2 linked regions of the Tamandua tetradactyla genome follow. The protein of the gene in region 2 interacts with the protein of the main gene of each other region in a biochemical or structural test. Links are inferred from orthologs where the notes say so. Each region holds a gene or a part of one and is shown on either strand. Other genes may lie near its edges.

What was found. The genes of interacting proteins can lie anywhere in the genome.
Region 1: the proteins of histone H2B type 1-B (region 2) and USP51 form a complex in vitro, tested with the Homo sapiens proteins (2 studies listed by BioGRID, with this or other methods). The link is inferred for Tamandua tetradactyla from reciprocal best matches to the Homo sapiens genes H2BC3 and USP51.

Annotation. Positions count from the first base shown.
Region 1 is NC_135353.1:113,252,185-113,259,941, forward strand, and holds USP51 (ubiquitin carboxyl-terminal hydrolase 51), read right to left. Parts: upstream 4,445-7,757; 5' UTR 4,342-4,444; intron 3,887-4,341; 5' UTR 3,723-3,886; intron 3,547-3,722; 5' UTR 3,492-3,546; coding exon 1,365-3,491; 3' UTR 962-1,364; downstream 1-961.
Region 2 is NC_135351.1:29,338,348-29,344,861, forward strand, and holds histone H2B type 1-B, read right to left. Parts: upstream 2,626-6,514; 5' UTR 2,554-2,625; coding exon 2,173-2,553; 3' UTR 2,120-2,172; downstream 1-2,119. Other genes in the region: histone H2A type 1-like, read left to right, coding at 2,899-3,291; histone H3.1, read left to right, coding at 4,142-4,552. UniProt on the Homo sapiens protein: Core component of nucleosome. Nucleosomes wrap and compact DNA into chromatin, limiting DNA accessibility to the cellular machineries which require DNA as a template.

The sequences.
Region 1 (7,757 bases), on a different chromosome or scaffold from region 2:
GTGCCTTCTTTTTTCAAATTTGTATTGATGTATCAACATAAAATTCACAAAAATATATATTCACAAAACCTTTGTCTTCTCATTCCTGTCACCAACAGTTTACTGCATCATACCCATATACATTTCAATGTGTTTAAATAAAAAAATACAATCTTTTTAACTTTTTAATTTTATAATCATTTCCATGTAAATGTTTTAAAGTTATTAAATTTTTATATTTTCATTTAAGTGTTTCATTAAAATTTTTTTAAGCTTCTCATCCTTTTTGTTTACATATTTAAAGTTTTCATGTAAATCTCTCTAATTGGACTTGTCTAAGATTCTTTATATTTTTTGCAAATTCTCTATTTTCTCTAATTTTTCCTTTTTTAAAATGTATTGAATTTTTAAAATAAATTTTGTCTAACTTTGCTTTGAATTGTTCTAAAGTTTCCTGGTTTAAAACTTTTCTGTAAACTTAATATTGAATTTTCTTTCCATTCCTTATTTAGTGTAAATTAATTTCTTAATTACACAAATATTAATTTTGTTAACCTTTAGTTTTTCAATACATACTTTATACTTTAATTTAAAGGTATTCCTCTACATTGCATTTTCTTTCATTTTAAACTTTAACTCTTAAGCTTTGCATTCTAATATTTTCCTTTTTTTATCTTTGTAATTTTAAAAATTGATCCTTTCACCTTACCTTTTTTCAAAGTTTTAGTTTTTATTCTTTTTCCTTTCCTTTCCTTTTTCATTTTCCATTTTTAAATTTTAAGATTTCCTAACTTTTTGCTTATAAAACTGATTTGAATAATTTTTGAGCCTTTTTAAAATTAAAATCATTTTTAATCTTTAAAACATTTACTTTCAAAATATTTAACTTAATGTTTTCTTTAAAGTTTTAAAAAATGTTTTTTTTTCTTTTTAAAATGTTTTACTTCCTTAAAGCTTTTAAATTTTTCTTTTAAAATATTCTCTTTATTTTCCAAACTATTTGACTGGTCAGACACTGCTGGAACATTAACAGAAATTATTTGCTGATGAAGGAATACCCCTTTACTTCCCACAATATTTCTGTAGTAGTGTTAGAACATCTCTATTCCCATTCTCTACCTAGAGCATTCTTTTCATGTAACTGTGCTCATATGTGACCAATTTCAACCTATTCCCCCTTTCTTTAAGGCTGAATGGTCACTGGTTAGGATTAATTTGTTTTCTCCTACAGATTCTTGGGCCATGGTAATAAAATACGTCCTTTATATCAAGGTATGAGTTGTCACATATGTGTTGTGGTCATTGTCCATTCCAGGTAGGTTTGTGTGTCACTTCAGGATCCATACCTATTCATTCATTTTACTATTTTCTTGCAAATTATGAGACTAGTCTTTCTCTAGGCTCTGTTTGTGATAGAACAGTAAATATCCTTCACTGTAAAGTAAGTCTTCAATGGTAGCTTTGGTGATGATGGCATCATCACAGCTGAACCACTGGTCCTTTTGTTGCCGGATAAAGCTAGTATAGTGCCCACTTTCCAAAGTTCCATGGTGATTAATCACTGCAAACAAGGAATACTTATTCTCATTGGGCAAACAGTCTGTTGCTGGCTGGCCTTTCATTCTGCTCTCTTTAGTGGAGGCCAAAAATGGAGTCATGTCCAGCTCCAAGGGAAAGGAGATAAAAGTATTAATCTTTCGTCTCTGTTTACCTACATGTTCAAACCGTTTGAGATGAAAACAGGCCACAGCAGGTAATTTCTTCATTGTGAGCTGTTTGGTAGATTCTTGGTAGCTTTGACAACTACTGCATTTGATTTTGGCACTGCTTCCTAGGTGCTCTGGTCTTGTAAACCACTGTAGGCAGTCTGTGAGAGAGGGGATTCCTGGTATGTGATCATCCCTTCTTACTGCGCTGTCAGCCTTCTCTGGGCTCTGGGAAGTGAATGTGGCACAAGAACCAGGCAAGTCCAAACTGATGTCCCAGCATGGGTCAATTGTAGTGGAGATGCTGTGGCAGGTTTGACATGTGACGTCTGACTGGAGGCCACCTGTGAAGATTTGGTCAATGATACAGTTACAACAGTTGGGGTTATTGGCTTCTTGTGCAACACTATCATCTTTGCTGTGTCTATGCAGCACATCTAATATTGCAATAAGGAACTCATGGGCATCCTGTTGCCTGTACCCTGCTAAATGTTCTGCATGAATCCATATCAGGTGCAATAACTTATAGGGAATATGAGGAGTTCGGCTCCCAGAGTACATAGCCTGAAAAAGTGAAGACATTTCACAGACCAGACACAAGCCGGGGCTTGTCATTATACATTTGTGCTTGTCAGAGAGGAAGAAATCTTTCAATAGAGGAATGTGGGTAAGTGCCTGGACAACACAGTTCATAAAGCAGGTATTTCCAAGATTGATTAGCCCCCTCAGACCTACAGTATAAACTGACTTTTTTCTCCTCTTTTTCTTGGGTTTCACAAATTTTGGCTCCTGTTCCTTTGACTCACAGGTTGATTGCTTCTCTTTAACACCTGATGTCATATACTGTTGTTGAGAAACGTCTGTTGAGGTGGAAGTTAGTAACTTCAAATTTTTTTCTTTTGTATCTTTGGCAATCCGTTCTATGTCCTTGTCATATACATAATCCTTACATATAAAGCAATATATAACTCCATGATAGAGGTCGATAGCTAAATTGTGCTGTTTTGTTTCTGCATGTTTGTGAATATGTTTTTCAGCAAAGCAGCCAAAAAAGACACAGGAGAGACAAGAGTGGAGCCTGTTCATATGGGTACTACATACACGACAGATGCACGACTTTGCTTTACGTTTCCTAGTCTCCGGGGTCCCGCTCCAAACGAAACGCTGGTAGATCAACCGCAGGTTCTTCTGCCAGTTCTTAACCACTTTAAAACTCTCTACATGACAACATCCTATAGGACCCTTATCAAACTCCATCTCCAGCAACCAGCCCCCTGAGCCATCTCGATCCCCAGAGCTGCCTAGCTCACCAGAACAGCCTCGCCATATCTGCGGCACGGACCTGGGTTGTGATCTCCGCCTGGATCTGCGCCCCAGCCAGGGTGGGGGCGGGAGCGAAGGCAGGGGGAGGGGCGGTAGCAGGGGACGGACTGGAGGCGGGGGAGGGTCTGAGGGCCTGGAAGGGCCTCGGGAGCGTGCCCAGGGCTGGGGCCGAGGGCGGGGCTTGCGGCGTGGGCAAACCGGCGAGGCGCTGCTATGACAGCGAGGGTGGATTGTAAAGAGCACCTTCTCCTCGCCGTCACCGCTCCGTGTCAAGTTCTCGTCAGGATCAGGCTTATGCTCTTGTAATGATTCCAGCTTGCTCTTCTCAGCTCCCTGGCCAGAACATGCCTTCGCCACCCTTACTGCCTCCTCCTCCATTCCCCCCGCCTTTTCAGCCACCTCAAGCAAAGCTCCACCTCCAGCTTCCAAGCTCGGGAGGACCGCTGAACCGGAGGACATGGAAACTTCTGGTATCTGGGCCATCACCTCACCGCCCCGCCTAAGGAGATGGACGTCTGGATTCGAGCTGCGATTGTAGCTGGAATGAGACAGGGACTTCTATGAGTGACATGCCTAGCATCAAGGCCGCGGTGCTCAGTTTATGCTCCAGGGACCCCTTCCATCCGCCTTCGAGCTCAGCCCGATGCAGCTGCGGGCTCCACCCCCTCCACTCTGACTGGCTCCGGGAACTGGGGTGGATACGGAGGAAGTTACCTGGTTTAAAGGCGATCAGATCCTGCGGCGGGACTCAGCCTGAGCTTTTGGGAGGAGAAACATGGAAACTTCTTTTTAAAAAGGCGTCACCCTCTAACTGCGTTCTCTGCGCCTCGTGCAGCCTCACTTTCATACAGCTTCCTCTGACGTTCTTTCCTTATATACTAAAAAACAAAATGCAAAAATAGAAATCACACACACACACACACTCACATTTGAGTTAACATTTTACCTTAAAAATGGCTGAAAGGGAGTCACTTGGAAAATGGGCACAGGAGAAGAAAGCTTCTCCCTGCTCTTATCTTAACTATGCTTCTGGGGCCGGTGTGTTCCACCTTTCGTCCCTGCACACAGGCGCGCACTGTCTTTGAGTCGGTCAGCCACACTCCTACGTCTTCTTAGGCTCTTTCCCTCTTCTGCTCCCTCTCACACCCTCTCTCTTGCTTCAGCGCCCTCCTTTCCTGCGGTTCCGCCTGTAATCCTGGTTCCTTCTCACGCCCTCCCAGCATTAACCAACCCCATAGCCACCCCTTCTTTAAGTGCGCGACCCCTGAAAAATCCGCTCTCCTCGCCCCCGCCACACACGCAGCCCAGCTATTTGTTTAAAGGTCTGGATTACCGTGGACCCCAGGCGTGTGATACAGAGCATCAGCAGTTGCTGCTGACCGACCACTCCTCAGCCAGCCTCTCCTGGCCTTATCCTCAGGGCTGGTCACAAGAGGGCCGCCCCTTGGCCCCTCCCCTCTCCACGTGTGGCCCCTAGCCCTGGATCCTGCCCTCCGGCAGTGATGAATGGCGCCGCTGTCCCGTGAAAGCAGACAAACCCTCACTCTGCTTAAGGTAACAAGGGTGACAGAATAACGAGAAAGCCCCTGGAATGGAGGTTCGGGCCTCACCTGATTCCAGGCCCAGGATCACCAGGGAAAAGATTCCGTGGGATAGGGGTGGGTGATTGCTGGGAAGACAGCTAGCTCCCCAAGCCTGAATCCTTCAGGGAACTATCAGAATCTAGTCTGTAGAAGTAAGTAGAGAAGGAGAGATGTTACCCTGGAGTGTGAAGGAGAGGAAACATAAGCATGGGCTTCAGGTTCAAATACACCTGAGTTAGGCACTTGTTAGCTGTGTGACCTCAGATAAAAATGAACTGCCCTGCACCTTAATTGTGTCATCTGTAAAACAAACCAAAAAAATGATAATTATAGTACTAACCTGTGAAGAACACTAAGTCAGTGTTCTGGTTAGCTCCCTGGGGAAATGCAATATACCAGAAATGGAATGGCTTTTAAAAAGGGGGAATTTATGGGCGGGCCATGGTGGCTTTGTGGCAGAATTCTTGCCTGCCATGCTTGAGACCTGCTTTGATTCCTGGTGCCTGCCCATGCAAAAATAAATAAATAAAAATAAAAATTTTTAAAAAGGGGGAATTTAATAAGTTGCGAGTTAACAGTTTTTAAGGCTGAGAAAATGTCCCAATTAAAACAGGTCTATAGAAATGTCCAATCTAAGGCATCCAGGGAAAGATACCTTGATTCAAGAAGGCTAATGAAGTTCCAGGTTTCTTTCTCAAGTGGAAAGGCGCATGGCAAACACCATCAGGATTTCTCTCTCATCTGGAAAGGCACATGGCGAACACAGTGGCTGGCTGGTGGACTCTCTGCTTCTAGTGGCTGTGTCCTTCTTTTTTGCTCTCTCTGTATCTCCTGGCTTTCTCTCTCATCGTTCGCTGTCGTGTCTTTCTCATGGCTCTGTCATTCTTCTCTGTTCTCTCTGAATCTCCTCCTTTCTCCAAAATGTTTCCTCTTTTATAGGATTCCAGTAAAGTAATCAAGACCAGCCTAGAACGGATGGAGACTCCACCTAATCCAGTTTAACAACCACTCTTGATTGACTCACATCTCAAGAGAGATGATCTAATTACAGTTTCAAACATACAGTTCTGATTAGGGATTAGAAGAAACGGCTGCTTTTACAAAATGGGATTAGGATTAAAACATGGCTTTTCTAGGGCACAGACATCCTTTCAAACTGGCACACATATTATATGTAAAAAGAGTTTTACTTTCACAAGTCTCTCAGCACCCATCCTGCATATATGTATATACTATAACTATACATACAACAATGAAAAAGAAATCGATTGTCTATTTCCAAGCCCTCTTAAAGTTATTACTTAGTTAACCTGATCACCCCAACTAAGCAGATCATATACATGGCAATGCATTCAACAAAAGTACAACAGTCCCTTAATTGTACAACTGCACAAGGTTGTGGTGTGAGAAACAGTAAGTAAAAGGACTTCTGTCCTCAAGGAGTTGATTGCCCAAGAGAATTTTCCTTCCTTTTCAAAATTAGAGGATCCAAGACACAACCCCCATAGAGTTGTTATCTCCAGGGCTTGTTGCAATTCCTATCCTATCTGAAGAATAGACTATTAAGAATGTTCAATGCTACATTCAAAGTGTCTAGGAAAGTCATGTCTCTTCTCTCTAAAACTCAGAAATAGGATGAACTAGAACTCTAAGGCATAGAAGTGTCATCAAGTAGATTCTTTTCCACAAAAGATGTATAAAGATTTTAGGAACAAGGACTAACCTATTTGATTTTTCTGACTGAGTGCAGGACTCACATGACCTTGGAGAGAAGCATGCCCCTAAATTTTCTCCCCCACACCAAATATAAGCTGAGAAGCTCAAGTAAGAATCAACGTTCTTTGATAAATTTGATTGCAGGAGTGATTGCATGGGAATTCAGAGAACTGTGTTTTTATAATTATTCCCACCATTTCCAGCTGTGTTATAGCCTTGGAGGAGCTACTCCTCACATCTAAGTCTCAGTTTACCCAAATAAAAAAAGAGCTGCTTTAATTTGGCTGTTCTTTGCTAGCTAAGAAACACCAAGACCTCTAAAATCATGGCAATGCAGCAAAAAGCCCGAGTACACTTCAAATCCACAGATACCTGGTCCACAGGTCAGCCAGACACTGTGTAGCTGAGTGGAAAAGATGCTGGCACTCTCATGGTTCTAACTGGAGGGCCCCAACAAGGGAGGGAAGGCTTATTCTTTCCATGCTGGAATTTTCCATCACTCTGTACACAGTAGAGATCCCTTGAAATTTAGGTGGCCTTTGGCACATTAATTTGTCTTCCTCTGGAGTTTTCATAGCACTTTCAGTGTGAAAAAAAAGAAAAAAGATGCAAAGTTTTGACCTCATGGAATTTTGGATGTGTTTACATATTAAGGATTTATGCAACATGCACCAGGGGTTGAAGGACGACACAAAAGGCGGCAGTGGGGTAAAGAGAGGCAGAAATGGAGTCACTTTAGTGGGTGGCCAGGCAGATATTAAGGGGAGGAGGAGGAGCTAGAGAGAGAAGTTGCCCTGTCATCCTACTGGTGAGTGGGTGGGTGGCAAAGGGGAACATGAAGGTCCTTGGTGTCCTGAGAGACAGTCCGTCCTGCTTCCCTTGTTCTCATCCCCCACATGTGAATTATCTTCTGTCTTGCGTGTCCCTTCTTTGGCAGCATGCTGGTAAGGAGAGTTCAGTGGCCCTGGAGGTCTGAGCAGTGCCACTCCCACCTGAAAAACAGCCAGTTATTGCCCCCACATACTGTCCTGCTCCACCCACCGAGCCTTGTGATTCTGATGGTCTACCCCTTAAGAGTAGAGCACAGAGAGGGGTACAACAGAGGAGGAAGCAGGTCCTCAGGATTCCACCTTGTCTCCAAATTCACCCCCAGAGGTCCTGCCCCTACCACATCTCCAGAGTGTGCCTCAGTCTAGACCAGCCTCCAAGGATCGGATCTCCCTCCTGGATTCTCTGTCCTTTAGATGCAGCTCAAGTGTCGCCTCCTCCAGGAAGCCTCCTTTGATCCCACAGATCTGGAGGGAGGGGCCTTTCAGGGTACAGTGACAACTCCCCGGCAGGGCACGCCAGACCCAGCCAGCATCTCTGAGGAGGCACATGTTGGGCCCTCAGTTGAGGCCCCAGCCCCAGCTACCCACCCCCTCCTAACCTTACCCTTTGTCAGCAGAGG
Region 2 (6,514 bases):
TACATTGTTCCTTTGTTTTTTTATATTCTTGGTTTTAATAAGCCCTGTTCTATAAATATGCCACTCTCCCTCCCCTTAGCACAACTCTTGGTTCAGTCAGTCCTCCAGACTTGACTGTTCCTCAGGCCATCCCTCTCAAGCTCTCTAATAAAACTTGCCATGATCTGTTAAGGTCTGTCCCGTTCCTTCTTTTCGAGCAGTCTCCTCTTCTACACTCCTTCACTTTCCTTTCATATAACGTTTGTATATCTGGGTGTATAGATTTGCATTAAGTAAAATTTCTGGAAAGCTGTTCACCAAAATATGTAGGAAATAGAATTTCGATTGATTTTTATTTGCATTTATATGTCATGTGTGTGTTTCAATGAAGGGCAGGTATTTTTCCAGGAAATCTTTGAAAACCTCAGACATATATCATGTATATTATTTAATGGAAATGAAAAGCACATCTGGTATTTCTGGGAGACAATTCTGCTGAAGATAATATTGAGAAAATCTATGCCCTCTCACCTGCCATGAGGGGGTGGAGTATTTCTTTCTTCGCAACCTTCTCCCCTCCTTCCCCAAATCTTATCCCCACCTTTCCCAAATCTTGAACTTACTCAGGGCCTCCTCCCATCTGTCTCTTTGCAGGCCTTTCTTCTGTTTTCCTAATTCCCAGTCAACCTCTCGCCAAATCAACATTCTCCTGAACCCCCTCCACCTATTTCCAGGCACTCACAGCTCAGCCAAGGGCAATTCCTCCTCTCTGGCCCCTGAGGAGTCGGATCTTATCTTCAGGTCATCTTTTTTGGATAGATAGCTCACCACTCCCCAATGCAGAACCCTAGAGCACAGGCATCAGACTTTCTTCTTTTTTTTAATTCCCCATTCACTTATAAGGACCAGTAAGGTGGCCTTAAAATGGCAAAAAAGGTCTAGTTTTCAGGCTTCGGAGACCCATGTTTTGGTCTAGGCTTCTTAACTAAGTAAAGCATCAAATATTCTCTTCTAATTTGAAGAAAAAAGGAAAAGAGAAAGGGATACAACCGATGGACGGACAGAAGAAAAGGAGAGAGGAAGGAGATAAATTCTGAATGACAAGATAGGGAGATAATAATCCCTCCTCAAGAGATCACTTTGAAGATGTTAAAAAATACTACTCAGGTCTCACTGCTACAGGGGAAAAACCTAAAGAACAATGATTCTTAAACTCAGCCTGTTTGCTAGTAATTGAGGAGCAAAGGGTTCCGACGACATGGTTATAATGTTAAAAAAAAATTAACAATTATAAGACAAAGGTATCTTTCGCGATGACCTGTTGCAAAGTCCTTCTCATATTGCTGGCTGGTGACATCTTAGGAATCTAAGACAAGGTAATTTTTATTTTCCTCTAAAATAGATAAGTTTGAGAAATTTTGCTTTTTCTTCCAAAAGCACTGCCGTATTTTACCCAAATAAAGTGCTGACTAAAATTAAGATATCTTTGTTTCTTTTCAATAGGCAGTCACGAATCTTTTTTCTCAGCCTGCATTCAAGGAGGTGGCGCCAGAAAGCGCGGGAAATTCAAATCCCCCCCACACACCCCCAGGATTCAAGCCATCATCCCCGCCCCATTTTGCTGGCAAGGCCGAAACAGCGTATGCCCCAGTAAAACTGACCGAGGTTTCTAATATGCAAGAAAAATCTAAAAGGCTTTTTGTTGCCATCGGTGACCAATTATAGCACGATTAGAACAACCTCATCTCATAGCACTCCAAAACAGCTCGAACATGTCACAGGCGGCCAGAAACGGCTCCAGTACTCGCACACACCACCCAACCCCCAGGAAGACTATACGGCCAACTATGGCTCTCAATTTCCTTATGCTGAAATTCCTAGCTGCTCCGTAACCCACACCCACAGAAAATTAAAGAATTCCCCCCAGCACATTTGAGCAGAAATATAGGAATTTACCTAATCCTGGGGCTTACACGCGGTAAGTACAGAGATGTAAAACACCGCAATCTTGCGGTGTGCGCAAATGGGCGTTAGAACAAACCTCACCTCCCCGCCAGCTTCAAATTATCACGGAAATAATTTCCTAGAAAAACTAGCTTGACAGTTTTGTTGGTGCCGCAATTACAACTCTCTCTGGAAAAAGTGGGTGGCTCTGAAAAGAGCCTTTGGAGTAGGAGGCACATATACAGGTGTTTACTTGGAACTAGTGTACTTGGTGACGGCCTTGGTGCCCTCGGACACGGCGTGCTTGGCCAGCTCCCCGGGAAGCAGCAGGCGCACAGCCGTCTGGATCTCCCTGGAGGTGATGGTCGAGCGCTTGTTGTAATGCGCCAGGCGCGATGCCTCGCCCGCGATGCGCTCGAAAATGTCGTTGACGAACGAGTTCATGATGCCCATGGCCTTGGACGAGATGCCGGTGTCGGGGTGGACCTGCTTCAGCACCTTGTACACATAGATGGAATAGCTCTCTTTGCGGCTGCGTTTACGTTTCTTACCATCTTTCTTCTGGGCCTTAGTTATAGCCTTCTTTGAACCCTTCTTAGGAGCTGGAGCAGATTTGGAAGGTTCAGGCATTGTTATTTCTTAAAAGCTACTCGCAAAAACAATTACGATCTCCACAACTAAAAATAGTGGAACTATAGCAGCTCAATTATTTATAGTTGCTTTATGTAAATGAGGGTTGAAGAACACTTACTGCTGATTGGATAAAAATAGCACACTTCCCGAAAGGGAGGTGTTTATGCAAATAAAGGATTCACATTTTCTTTTCCTATTGGACAAATACTACAGAACCATTTCGGCCAATAGGGTAGCTTAAAGTCTGAAACCTTCCATTGCCTATAAAAAGCTTTTTTTTTAGTAGCATACTTAGTTTTCCGCTTTGCGCGTTGGCTAGCTGTTGCACTTAATAAGTTCAGAATGTCTGGACGCGGTAAACAAGGAGGTAAAGTTCGTGCTAAGGCGAAGACTCGCTCATCGAGAGCGGGTCTGCAGTTCCCAGTGGGCCGTGTGCACCGCCTGCTCCGCAAGGGCAACTATGCCGAGCGAGTCGGGGCCGGAGCCCCTGTGTATCTGGCAGCGGTGCTGGAGTACCTGACCGCCGAGATCCTGGAGTTGGCAGGCAACGCGGCCCGCGATAACAAGAAGACCCGCATCATCCCCCGCCACCTGCAGCTGGCTATCCGCAACGACGAGGAACTCAACAAGCTGCTGGGCAAGGTAACCATCGCGCAGGGCGGCGTCCTGCCCAACATCCAGGCAGTACTACTGCCCAAGAAGACCGAGAGCCACCACAAGGCTAAAGGCAAATAAAAGCCCAGCTCAACAAGGTTACTTCAGGCTTATTTTAACAAAGGCTCTTTTCAGAGCCAACCACATTCTCACGAGAAAAGCTTGTAACTGTAGAGTTGTTTTTATTGTGTAAAGATCGATCTGGGCTTTGGAAAAACAGCCTTACTGGGATGTCCTTTAAGTGCTGAATACGTGTAACAGGAATTTTGTTCAGCAACTGGGTTGCGGCGAGGTTAATAAACTTTCAGTTAACAGTCAAGCACGAATTACAACCCATTTTTACACAGCACACAAAAGCAACTCTCCGCTATAGAACACCTGTCTGGGCGCTTTACTCTCTGTAAGTACTGCACCCGGATACCCTGCTTATATACGTCAAAGATAGAAACACCCAGGAGGTAAATGTAACCGCAGTTAGAATGAAGGAGAGACAATCCAGGCACTTTGAGGTATAGTTAAAAAAACAAAAGAAACAATAATGAAATTGTACTGGGAATGCACAACAAGCAGCATTGATATAACCAGTAGATTATATGCAGAATGTTAGGACAACCCGATTTACTGAATTCACATTTTAAACTAGATCTAGGTCTCTCCTTATATACATTATAGTTGGAGACAGGCTGAACTAGAACTTCCTAAAATTCTCAGATCTCTGAAAGTAAACAAAAGGGTAGAGGATCCGGAAGTAGAGTAATTCATTAAGAGTTCCCAGCAAATAGCCAATCATTACAATCCCTCATCAGCCAATGGCTATCTCGCGCGGGATTTTTGAAAATTCAGAAAGCCAATCAAATTGGTTCTGACTATATTTAAAATCAACCTCACCGCCAAACTCAACATTGGTATCTGTTGTGCCCAGCCTTTGTAGATGGCTCGCACTAAGCAGACGGCCCGCAAGTCCACGGGCGGCAAAGCACCGCGCAAGCAGCTGGCCACTAAGGCGGCTCGCAAGAGCGCGCCGGCCACGGGCGGCGTGAAGAAGCCGCACCGCTACCGGCCCGGTACCGTGGCGCTGCGCGAGATCCGCCGCTACCAGAAGTCCACCGAGCTGCTGATCCGCAAGCTGCCGTTTCAGCGGCTGGTGCGCGAAATCGCGCAGGATTTCAAGACCGACCTGCGCTTCCAGAGCTCGGCGGTGATGGCGCTGCAGGAGGCGTGCGAGGCCTACCTGGTAGGACTCTTCGAGGACACCAACCTGTGCGCCATCCACGCCAAGCGCGTCACCATCATGCCCAAGGACATCCAGCTCGCTCGCCGCATTCGCGGGGAGAGGGCGTAAGCTAAACCTTTCTCATTTGACAACGGCTCTTTTCAGAGCCACCCATAGATTCACTTAAAAGTAGTTGTACTCGTCTTTAGGTAACGATTTTCTTGCAATTTTGCCTTGCCTCCAGCGAAATTGACAATAGAGTTGAACTTGGTATATCTGCCTCATTCCCTGGTTATAGCTCGGTGTGAAGTGGATAGGGTGAGTTAATGTGTAAGGCTTTGGGGATCCCCTCCTTTCTGAAGGAATGGGTCAGGATAATTGAATACATTTGTATTCAGCTCAGAGCAAGTGTTCTCTTTACTTCGGTTGGGTCACTATCACAAAACAGATTGGAGATTAGGTACTTGGATTACAGGTAATTAAAATGGATGTCAAATTTGAAAATACATTCCAGATTTTAATGTGCTAAAAACATCTTAGAATTTCATTAAGCTTTTTATTTTAAAGTGATAGTTTTGTATTACAGTGGGTTAAAACATTACAATGAACTACACTTCCGTTTACTTTTTGTTAATGTGCTTTCTAGGAAGCTTAAAATTAAATACAGGCTTTCATTGTGTTTCTGAGGGGCAATGCTTGTATATAAAAGATAATACTGACTGGCAGATCAGAAGCATGAGTAACTGACCTTGAGCATTTCCCTCAAGTCTCCAAGCCTCAGTGCTGTGACAAGAATGTATTTGAAAATAACCGTAGAGTGCTCACACTTGAGAGCTCTCAGGGCCTCATCTTTGCTGTTGCCATGGTGCCCTAAATCCCTGTTCTCTTAAATTTCTCTAGTGAAGTAATCTTGTCCTGCACTGAATTTGTTCATCTCTGGCATAGATTTAAACTACAAAGACATCTACACTTCCCTCAGACATAGCAGAAGGACCTGGGGCCTTGCCTGAGGAGATAAGAGGGCATTTCATTCTCAGTCATTAGAGCACTATGTATGTACAAAAAGGAAATTTTGGAATATGTTACAAATAACCCTTAATTTGTATTGCTGACACTTCTATCATACACGGTCCGTTTCCAGCATTTTCACAATCAAATAATTCAGTGAACAATTTAGTTTATGCAGCATTCATGGCCATTTTTTACTTCTTTAGGGTTTAGGTATAATTATTGGAGTATACTATTGCTGTTGTCCATACTGTTTTATGTAAGTTAAAACTTGCAAGTGATCAATATGAATATTAAAAGTATAGGTTTCATAAACTAAAAAAATTGATACAAGCATCTTTTTGTTTGTTTGTTTTTAGGTGCACATTTCACAGTGGCTCATTGTATCAAAGCCAGCCAGTTTATTAAGAAAAGTATGAGAGAATGGAACATGAAAAAAATTGAAGAGACATAATGTTGAAAATCGTATATAAAGCCTATGTAAAATCAAAGATTTTCTTAATAATTTCTGAGTTTCTATGAATGAACTCTCCCTTCACTAGATAACAGTGTACACATGCAGACCTAAATATAGTGAGGAATGCATTTCATTTGAAGGTAAGGGACATGCTATACAAATATGTTTGCAGAAGACATTTAACGGTAAAATTAATTGAAAGTATAGAAACCCAATAAATTGAAACCCCAAAGGCATTCATAAAACGTTTGAAGTAAAATTAGAGAATTGAGTCCTTGTTTACATTGATTGTTCCCCTGCCTAAATTTTAGAGGTAATCTGGAGATCAAGTAAATGGATGGAATTGAAAGGATTTGAAAGAAAACAGGAACTTAGAAATGTATGGTGTCATTTACCATAAGGGCTCTAAACACTAATTGTGATCATATTTGGAGCGTCCTAATTAAACCCAGTGGGTGTTGCAACTTGACTCAAGCTGAGCCAAGTGAGGTAGTCCTAGGAACACTACGGCAAGAATTCAAATAGCCCCAATGACCAAGAACTCAAATGTCAGGAATCCATATAGTCCATGCAGCTCTGTGCATCACACATCTCTGCTTTTCTCTGTACTTTTGTCCCACTTACCC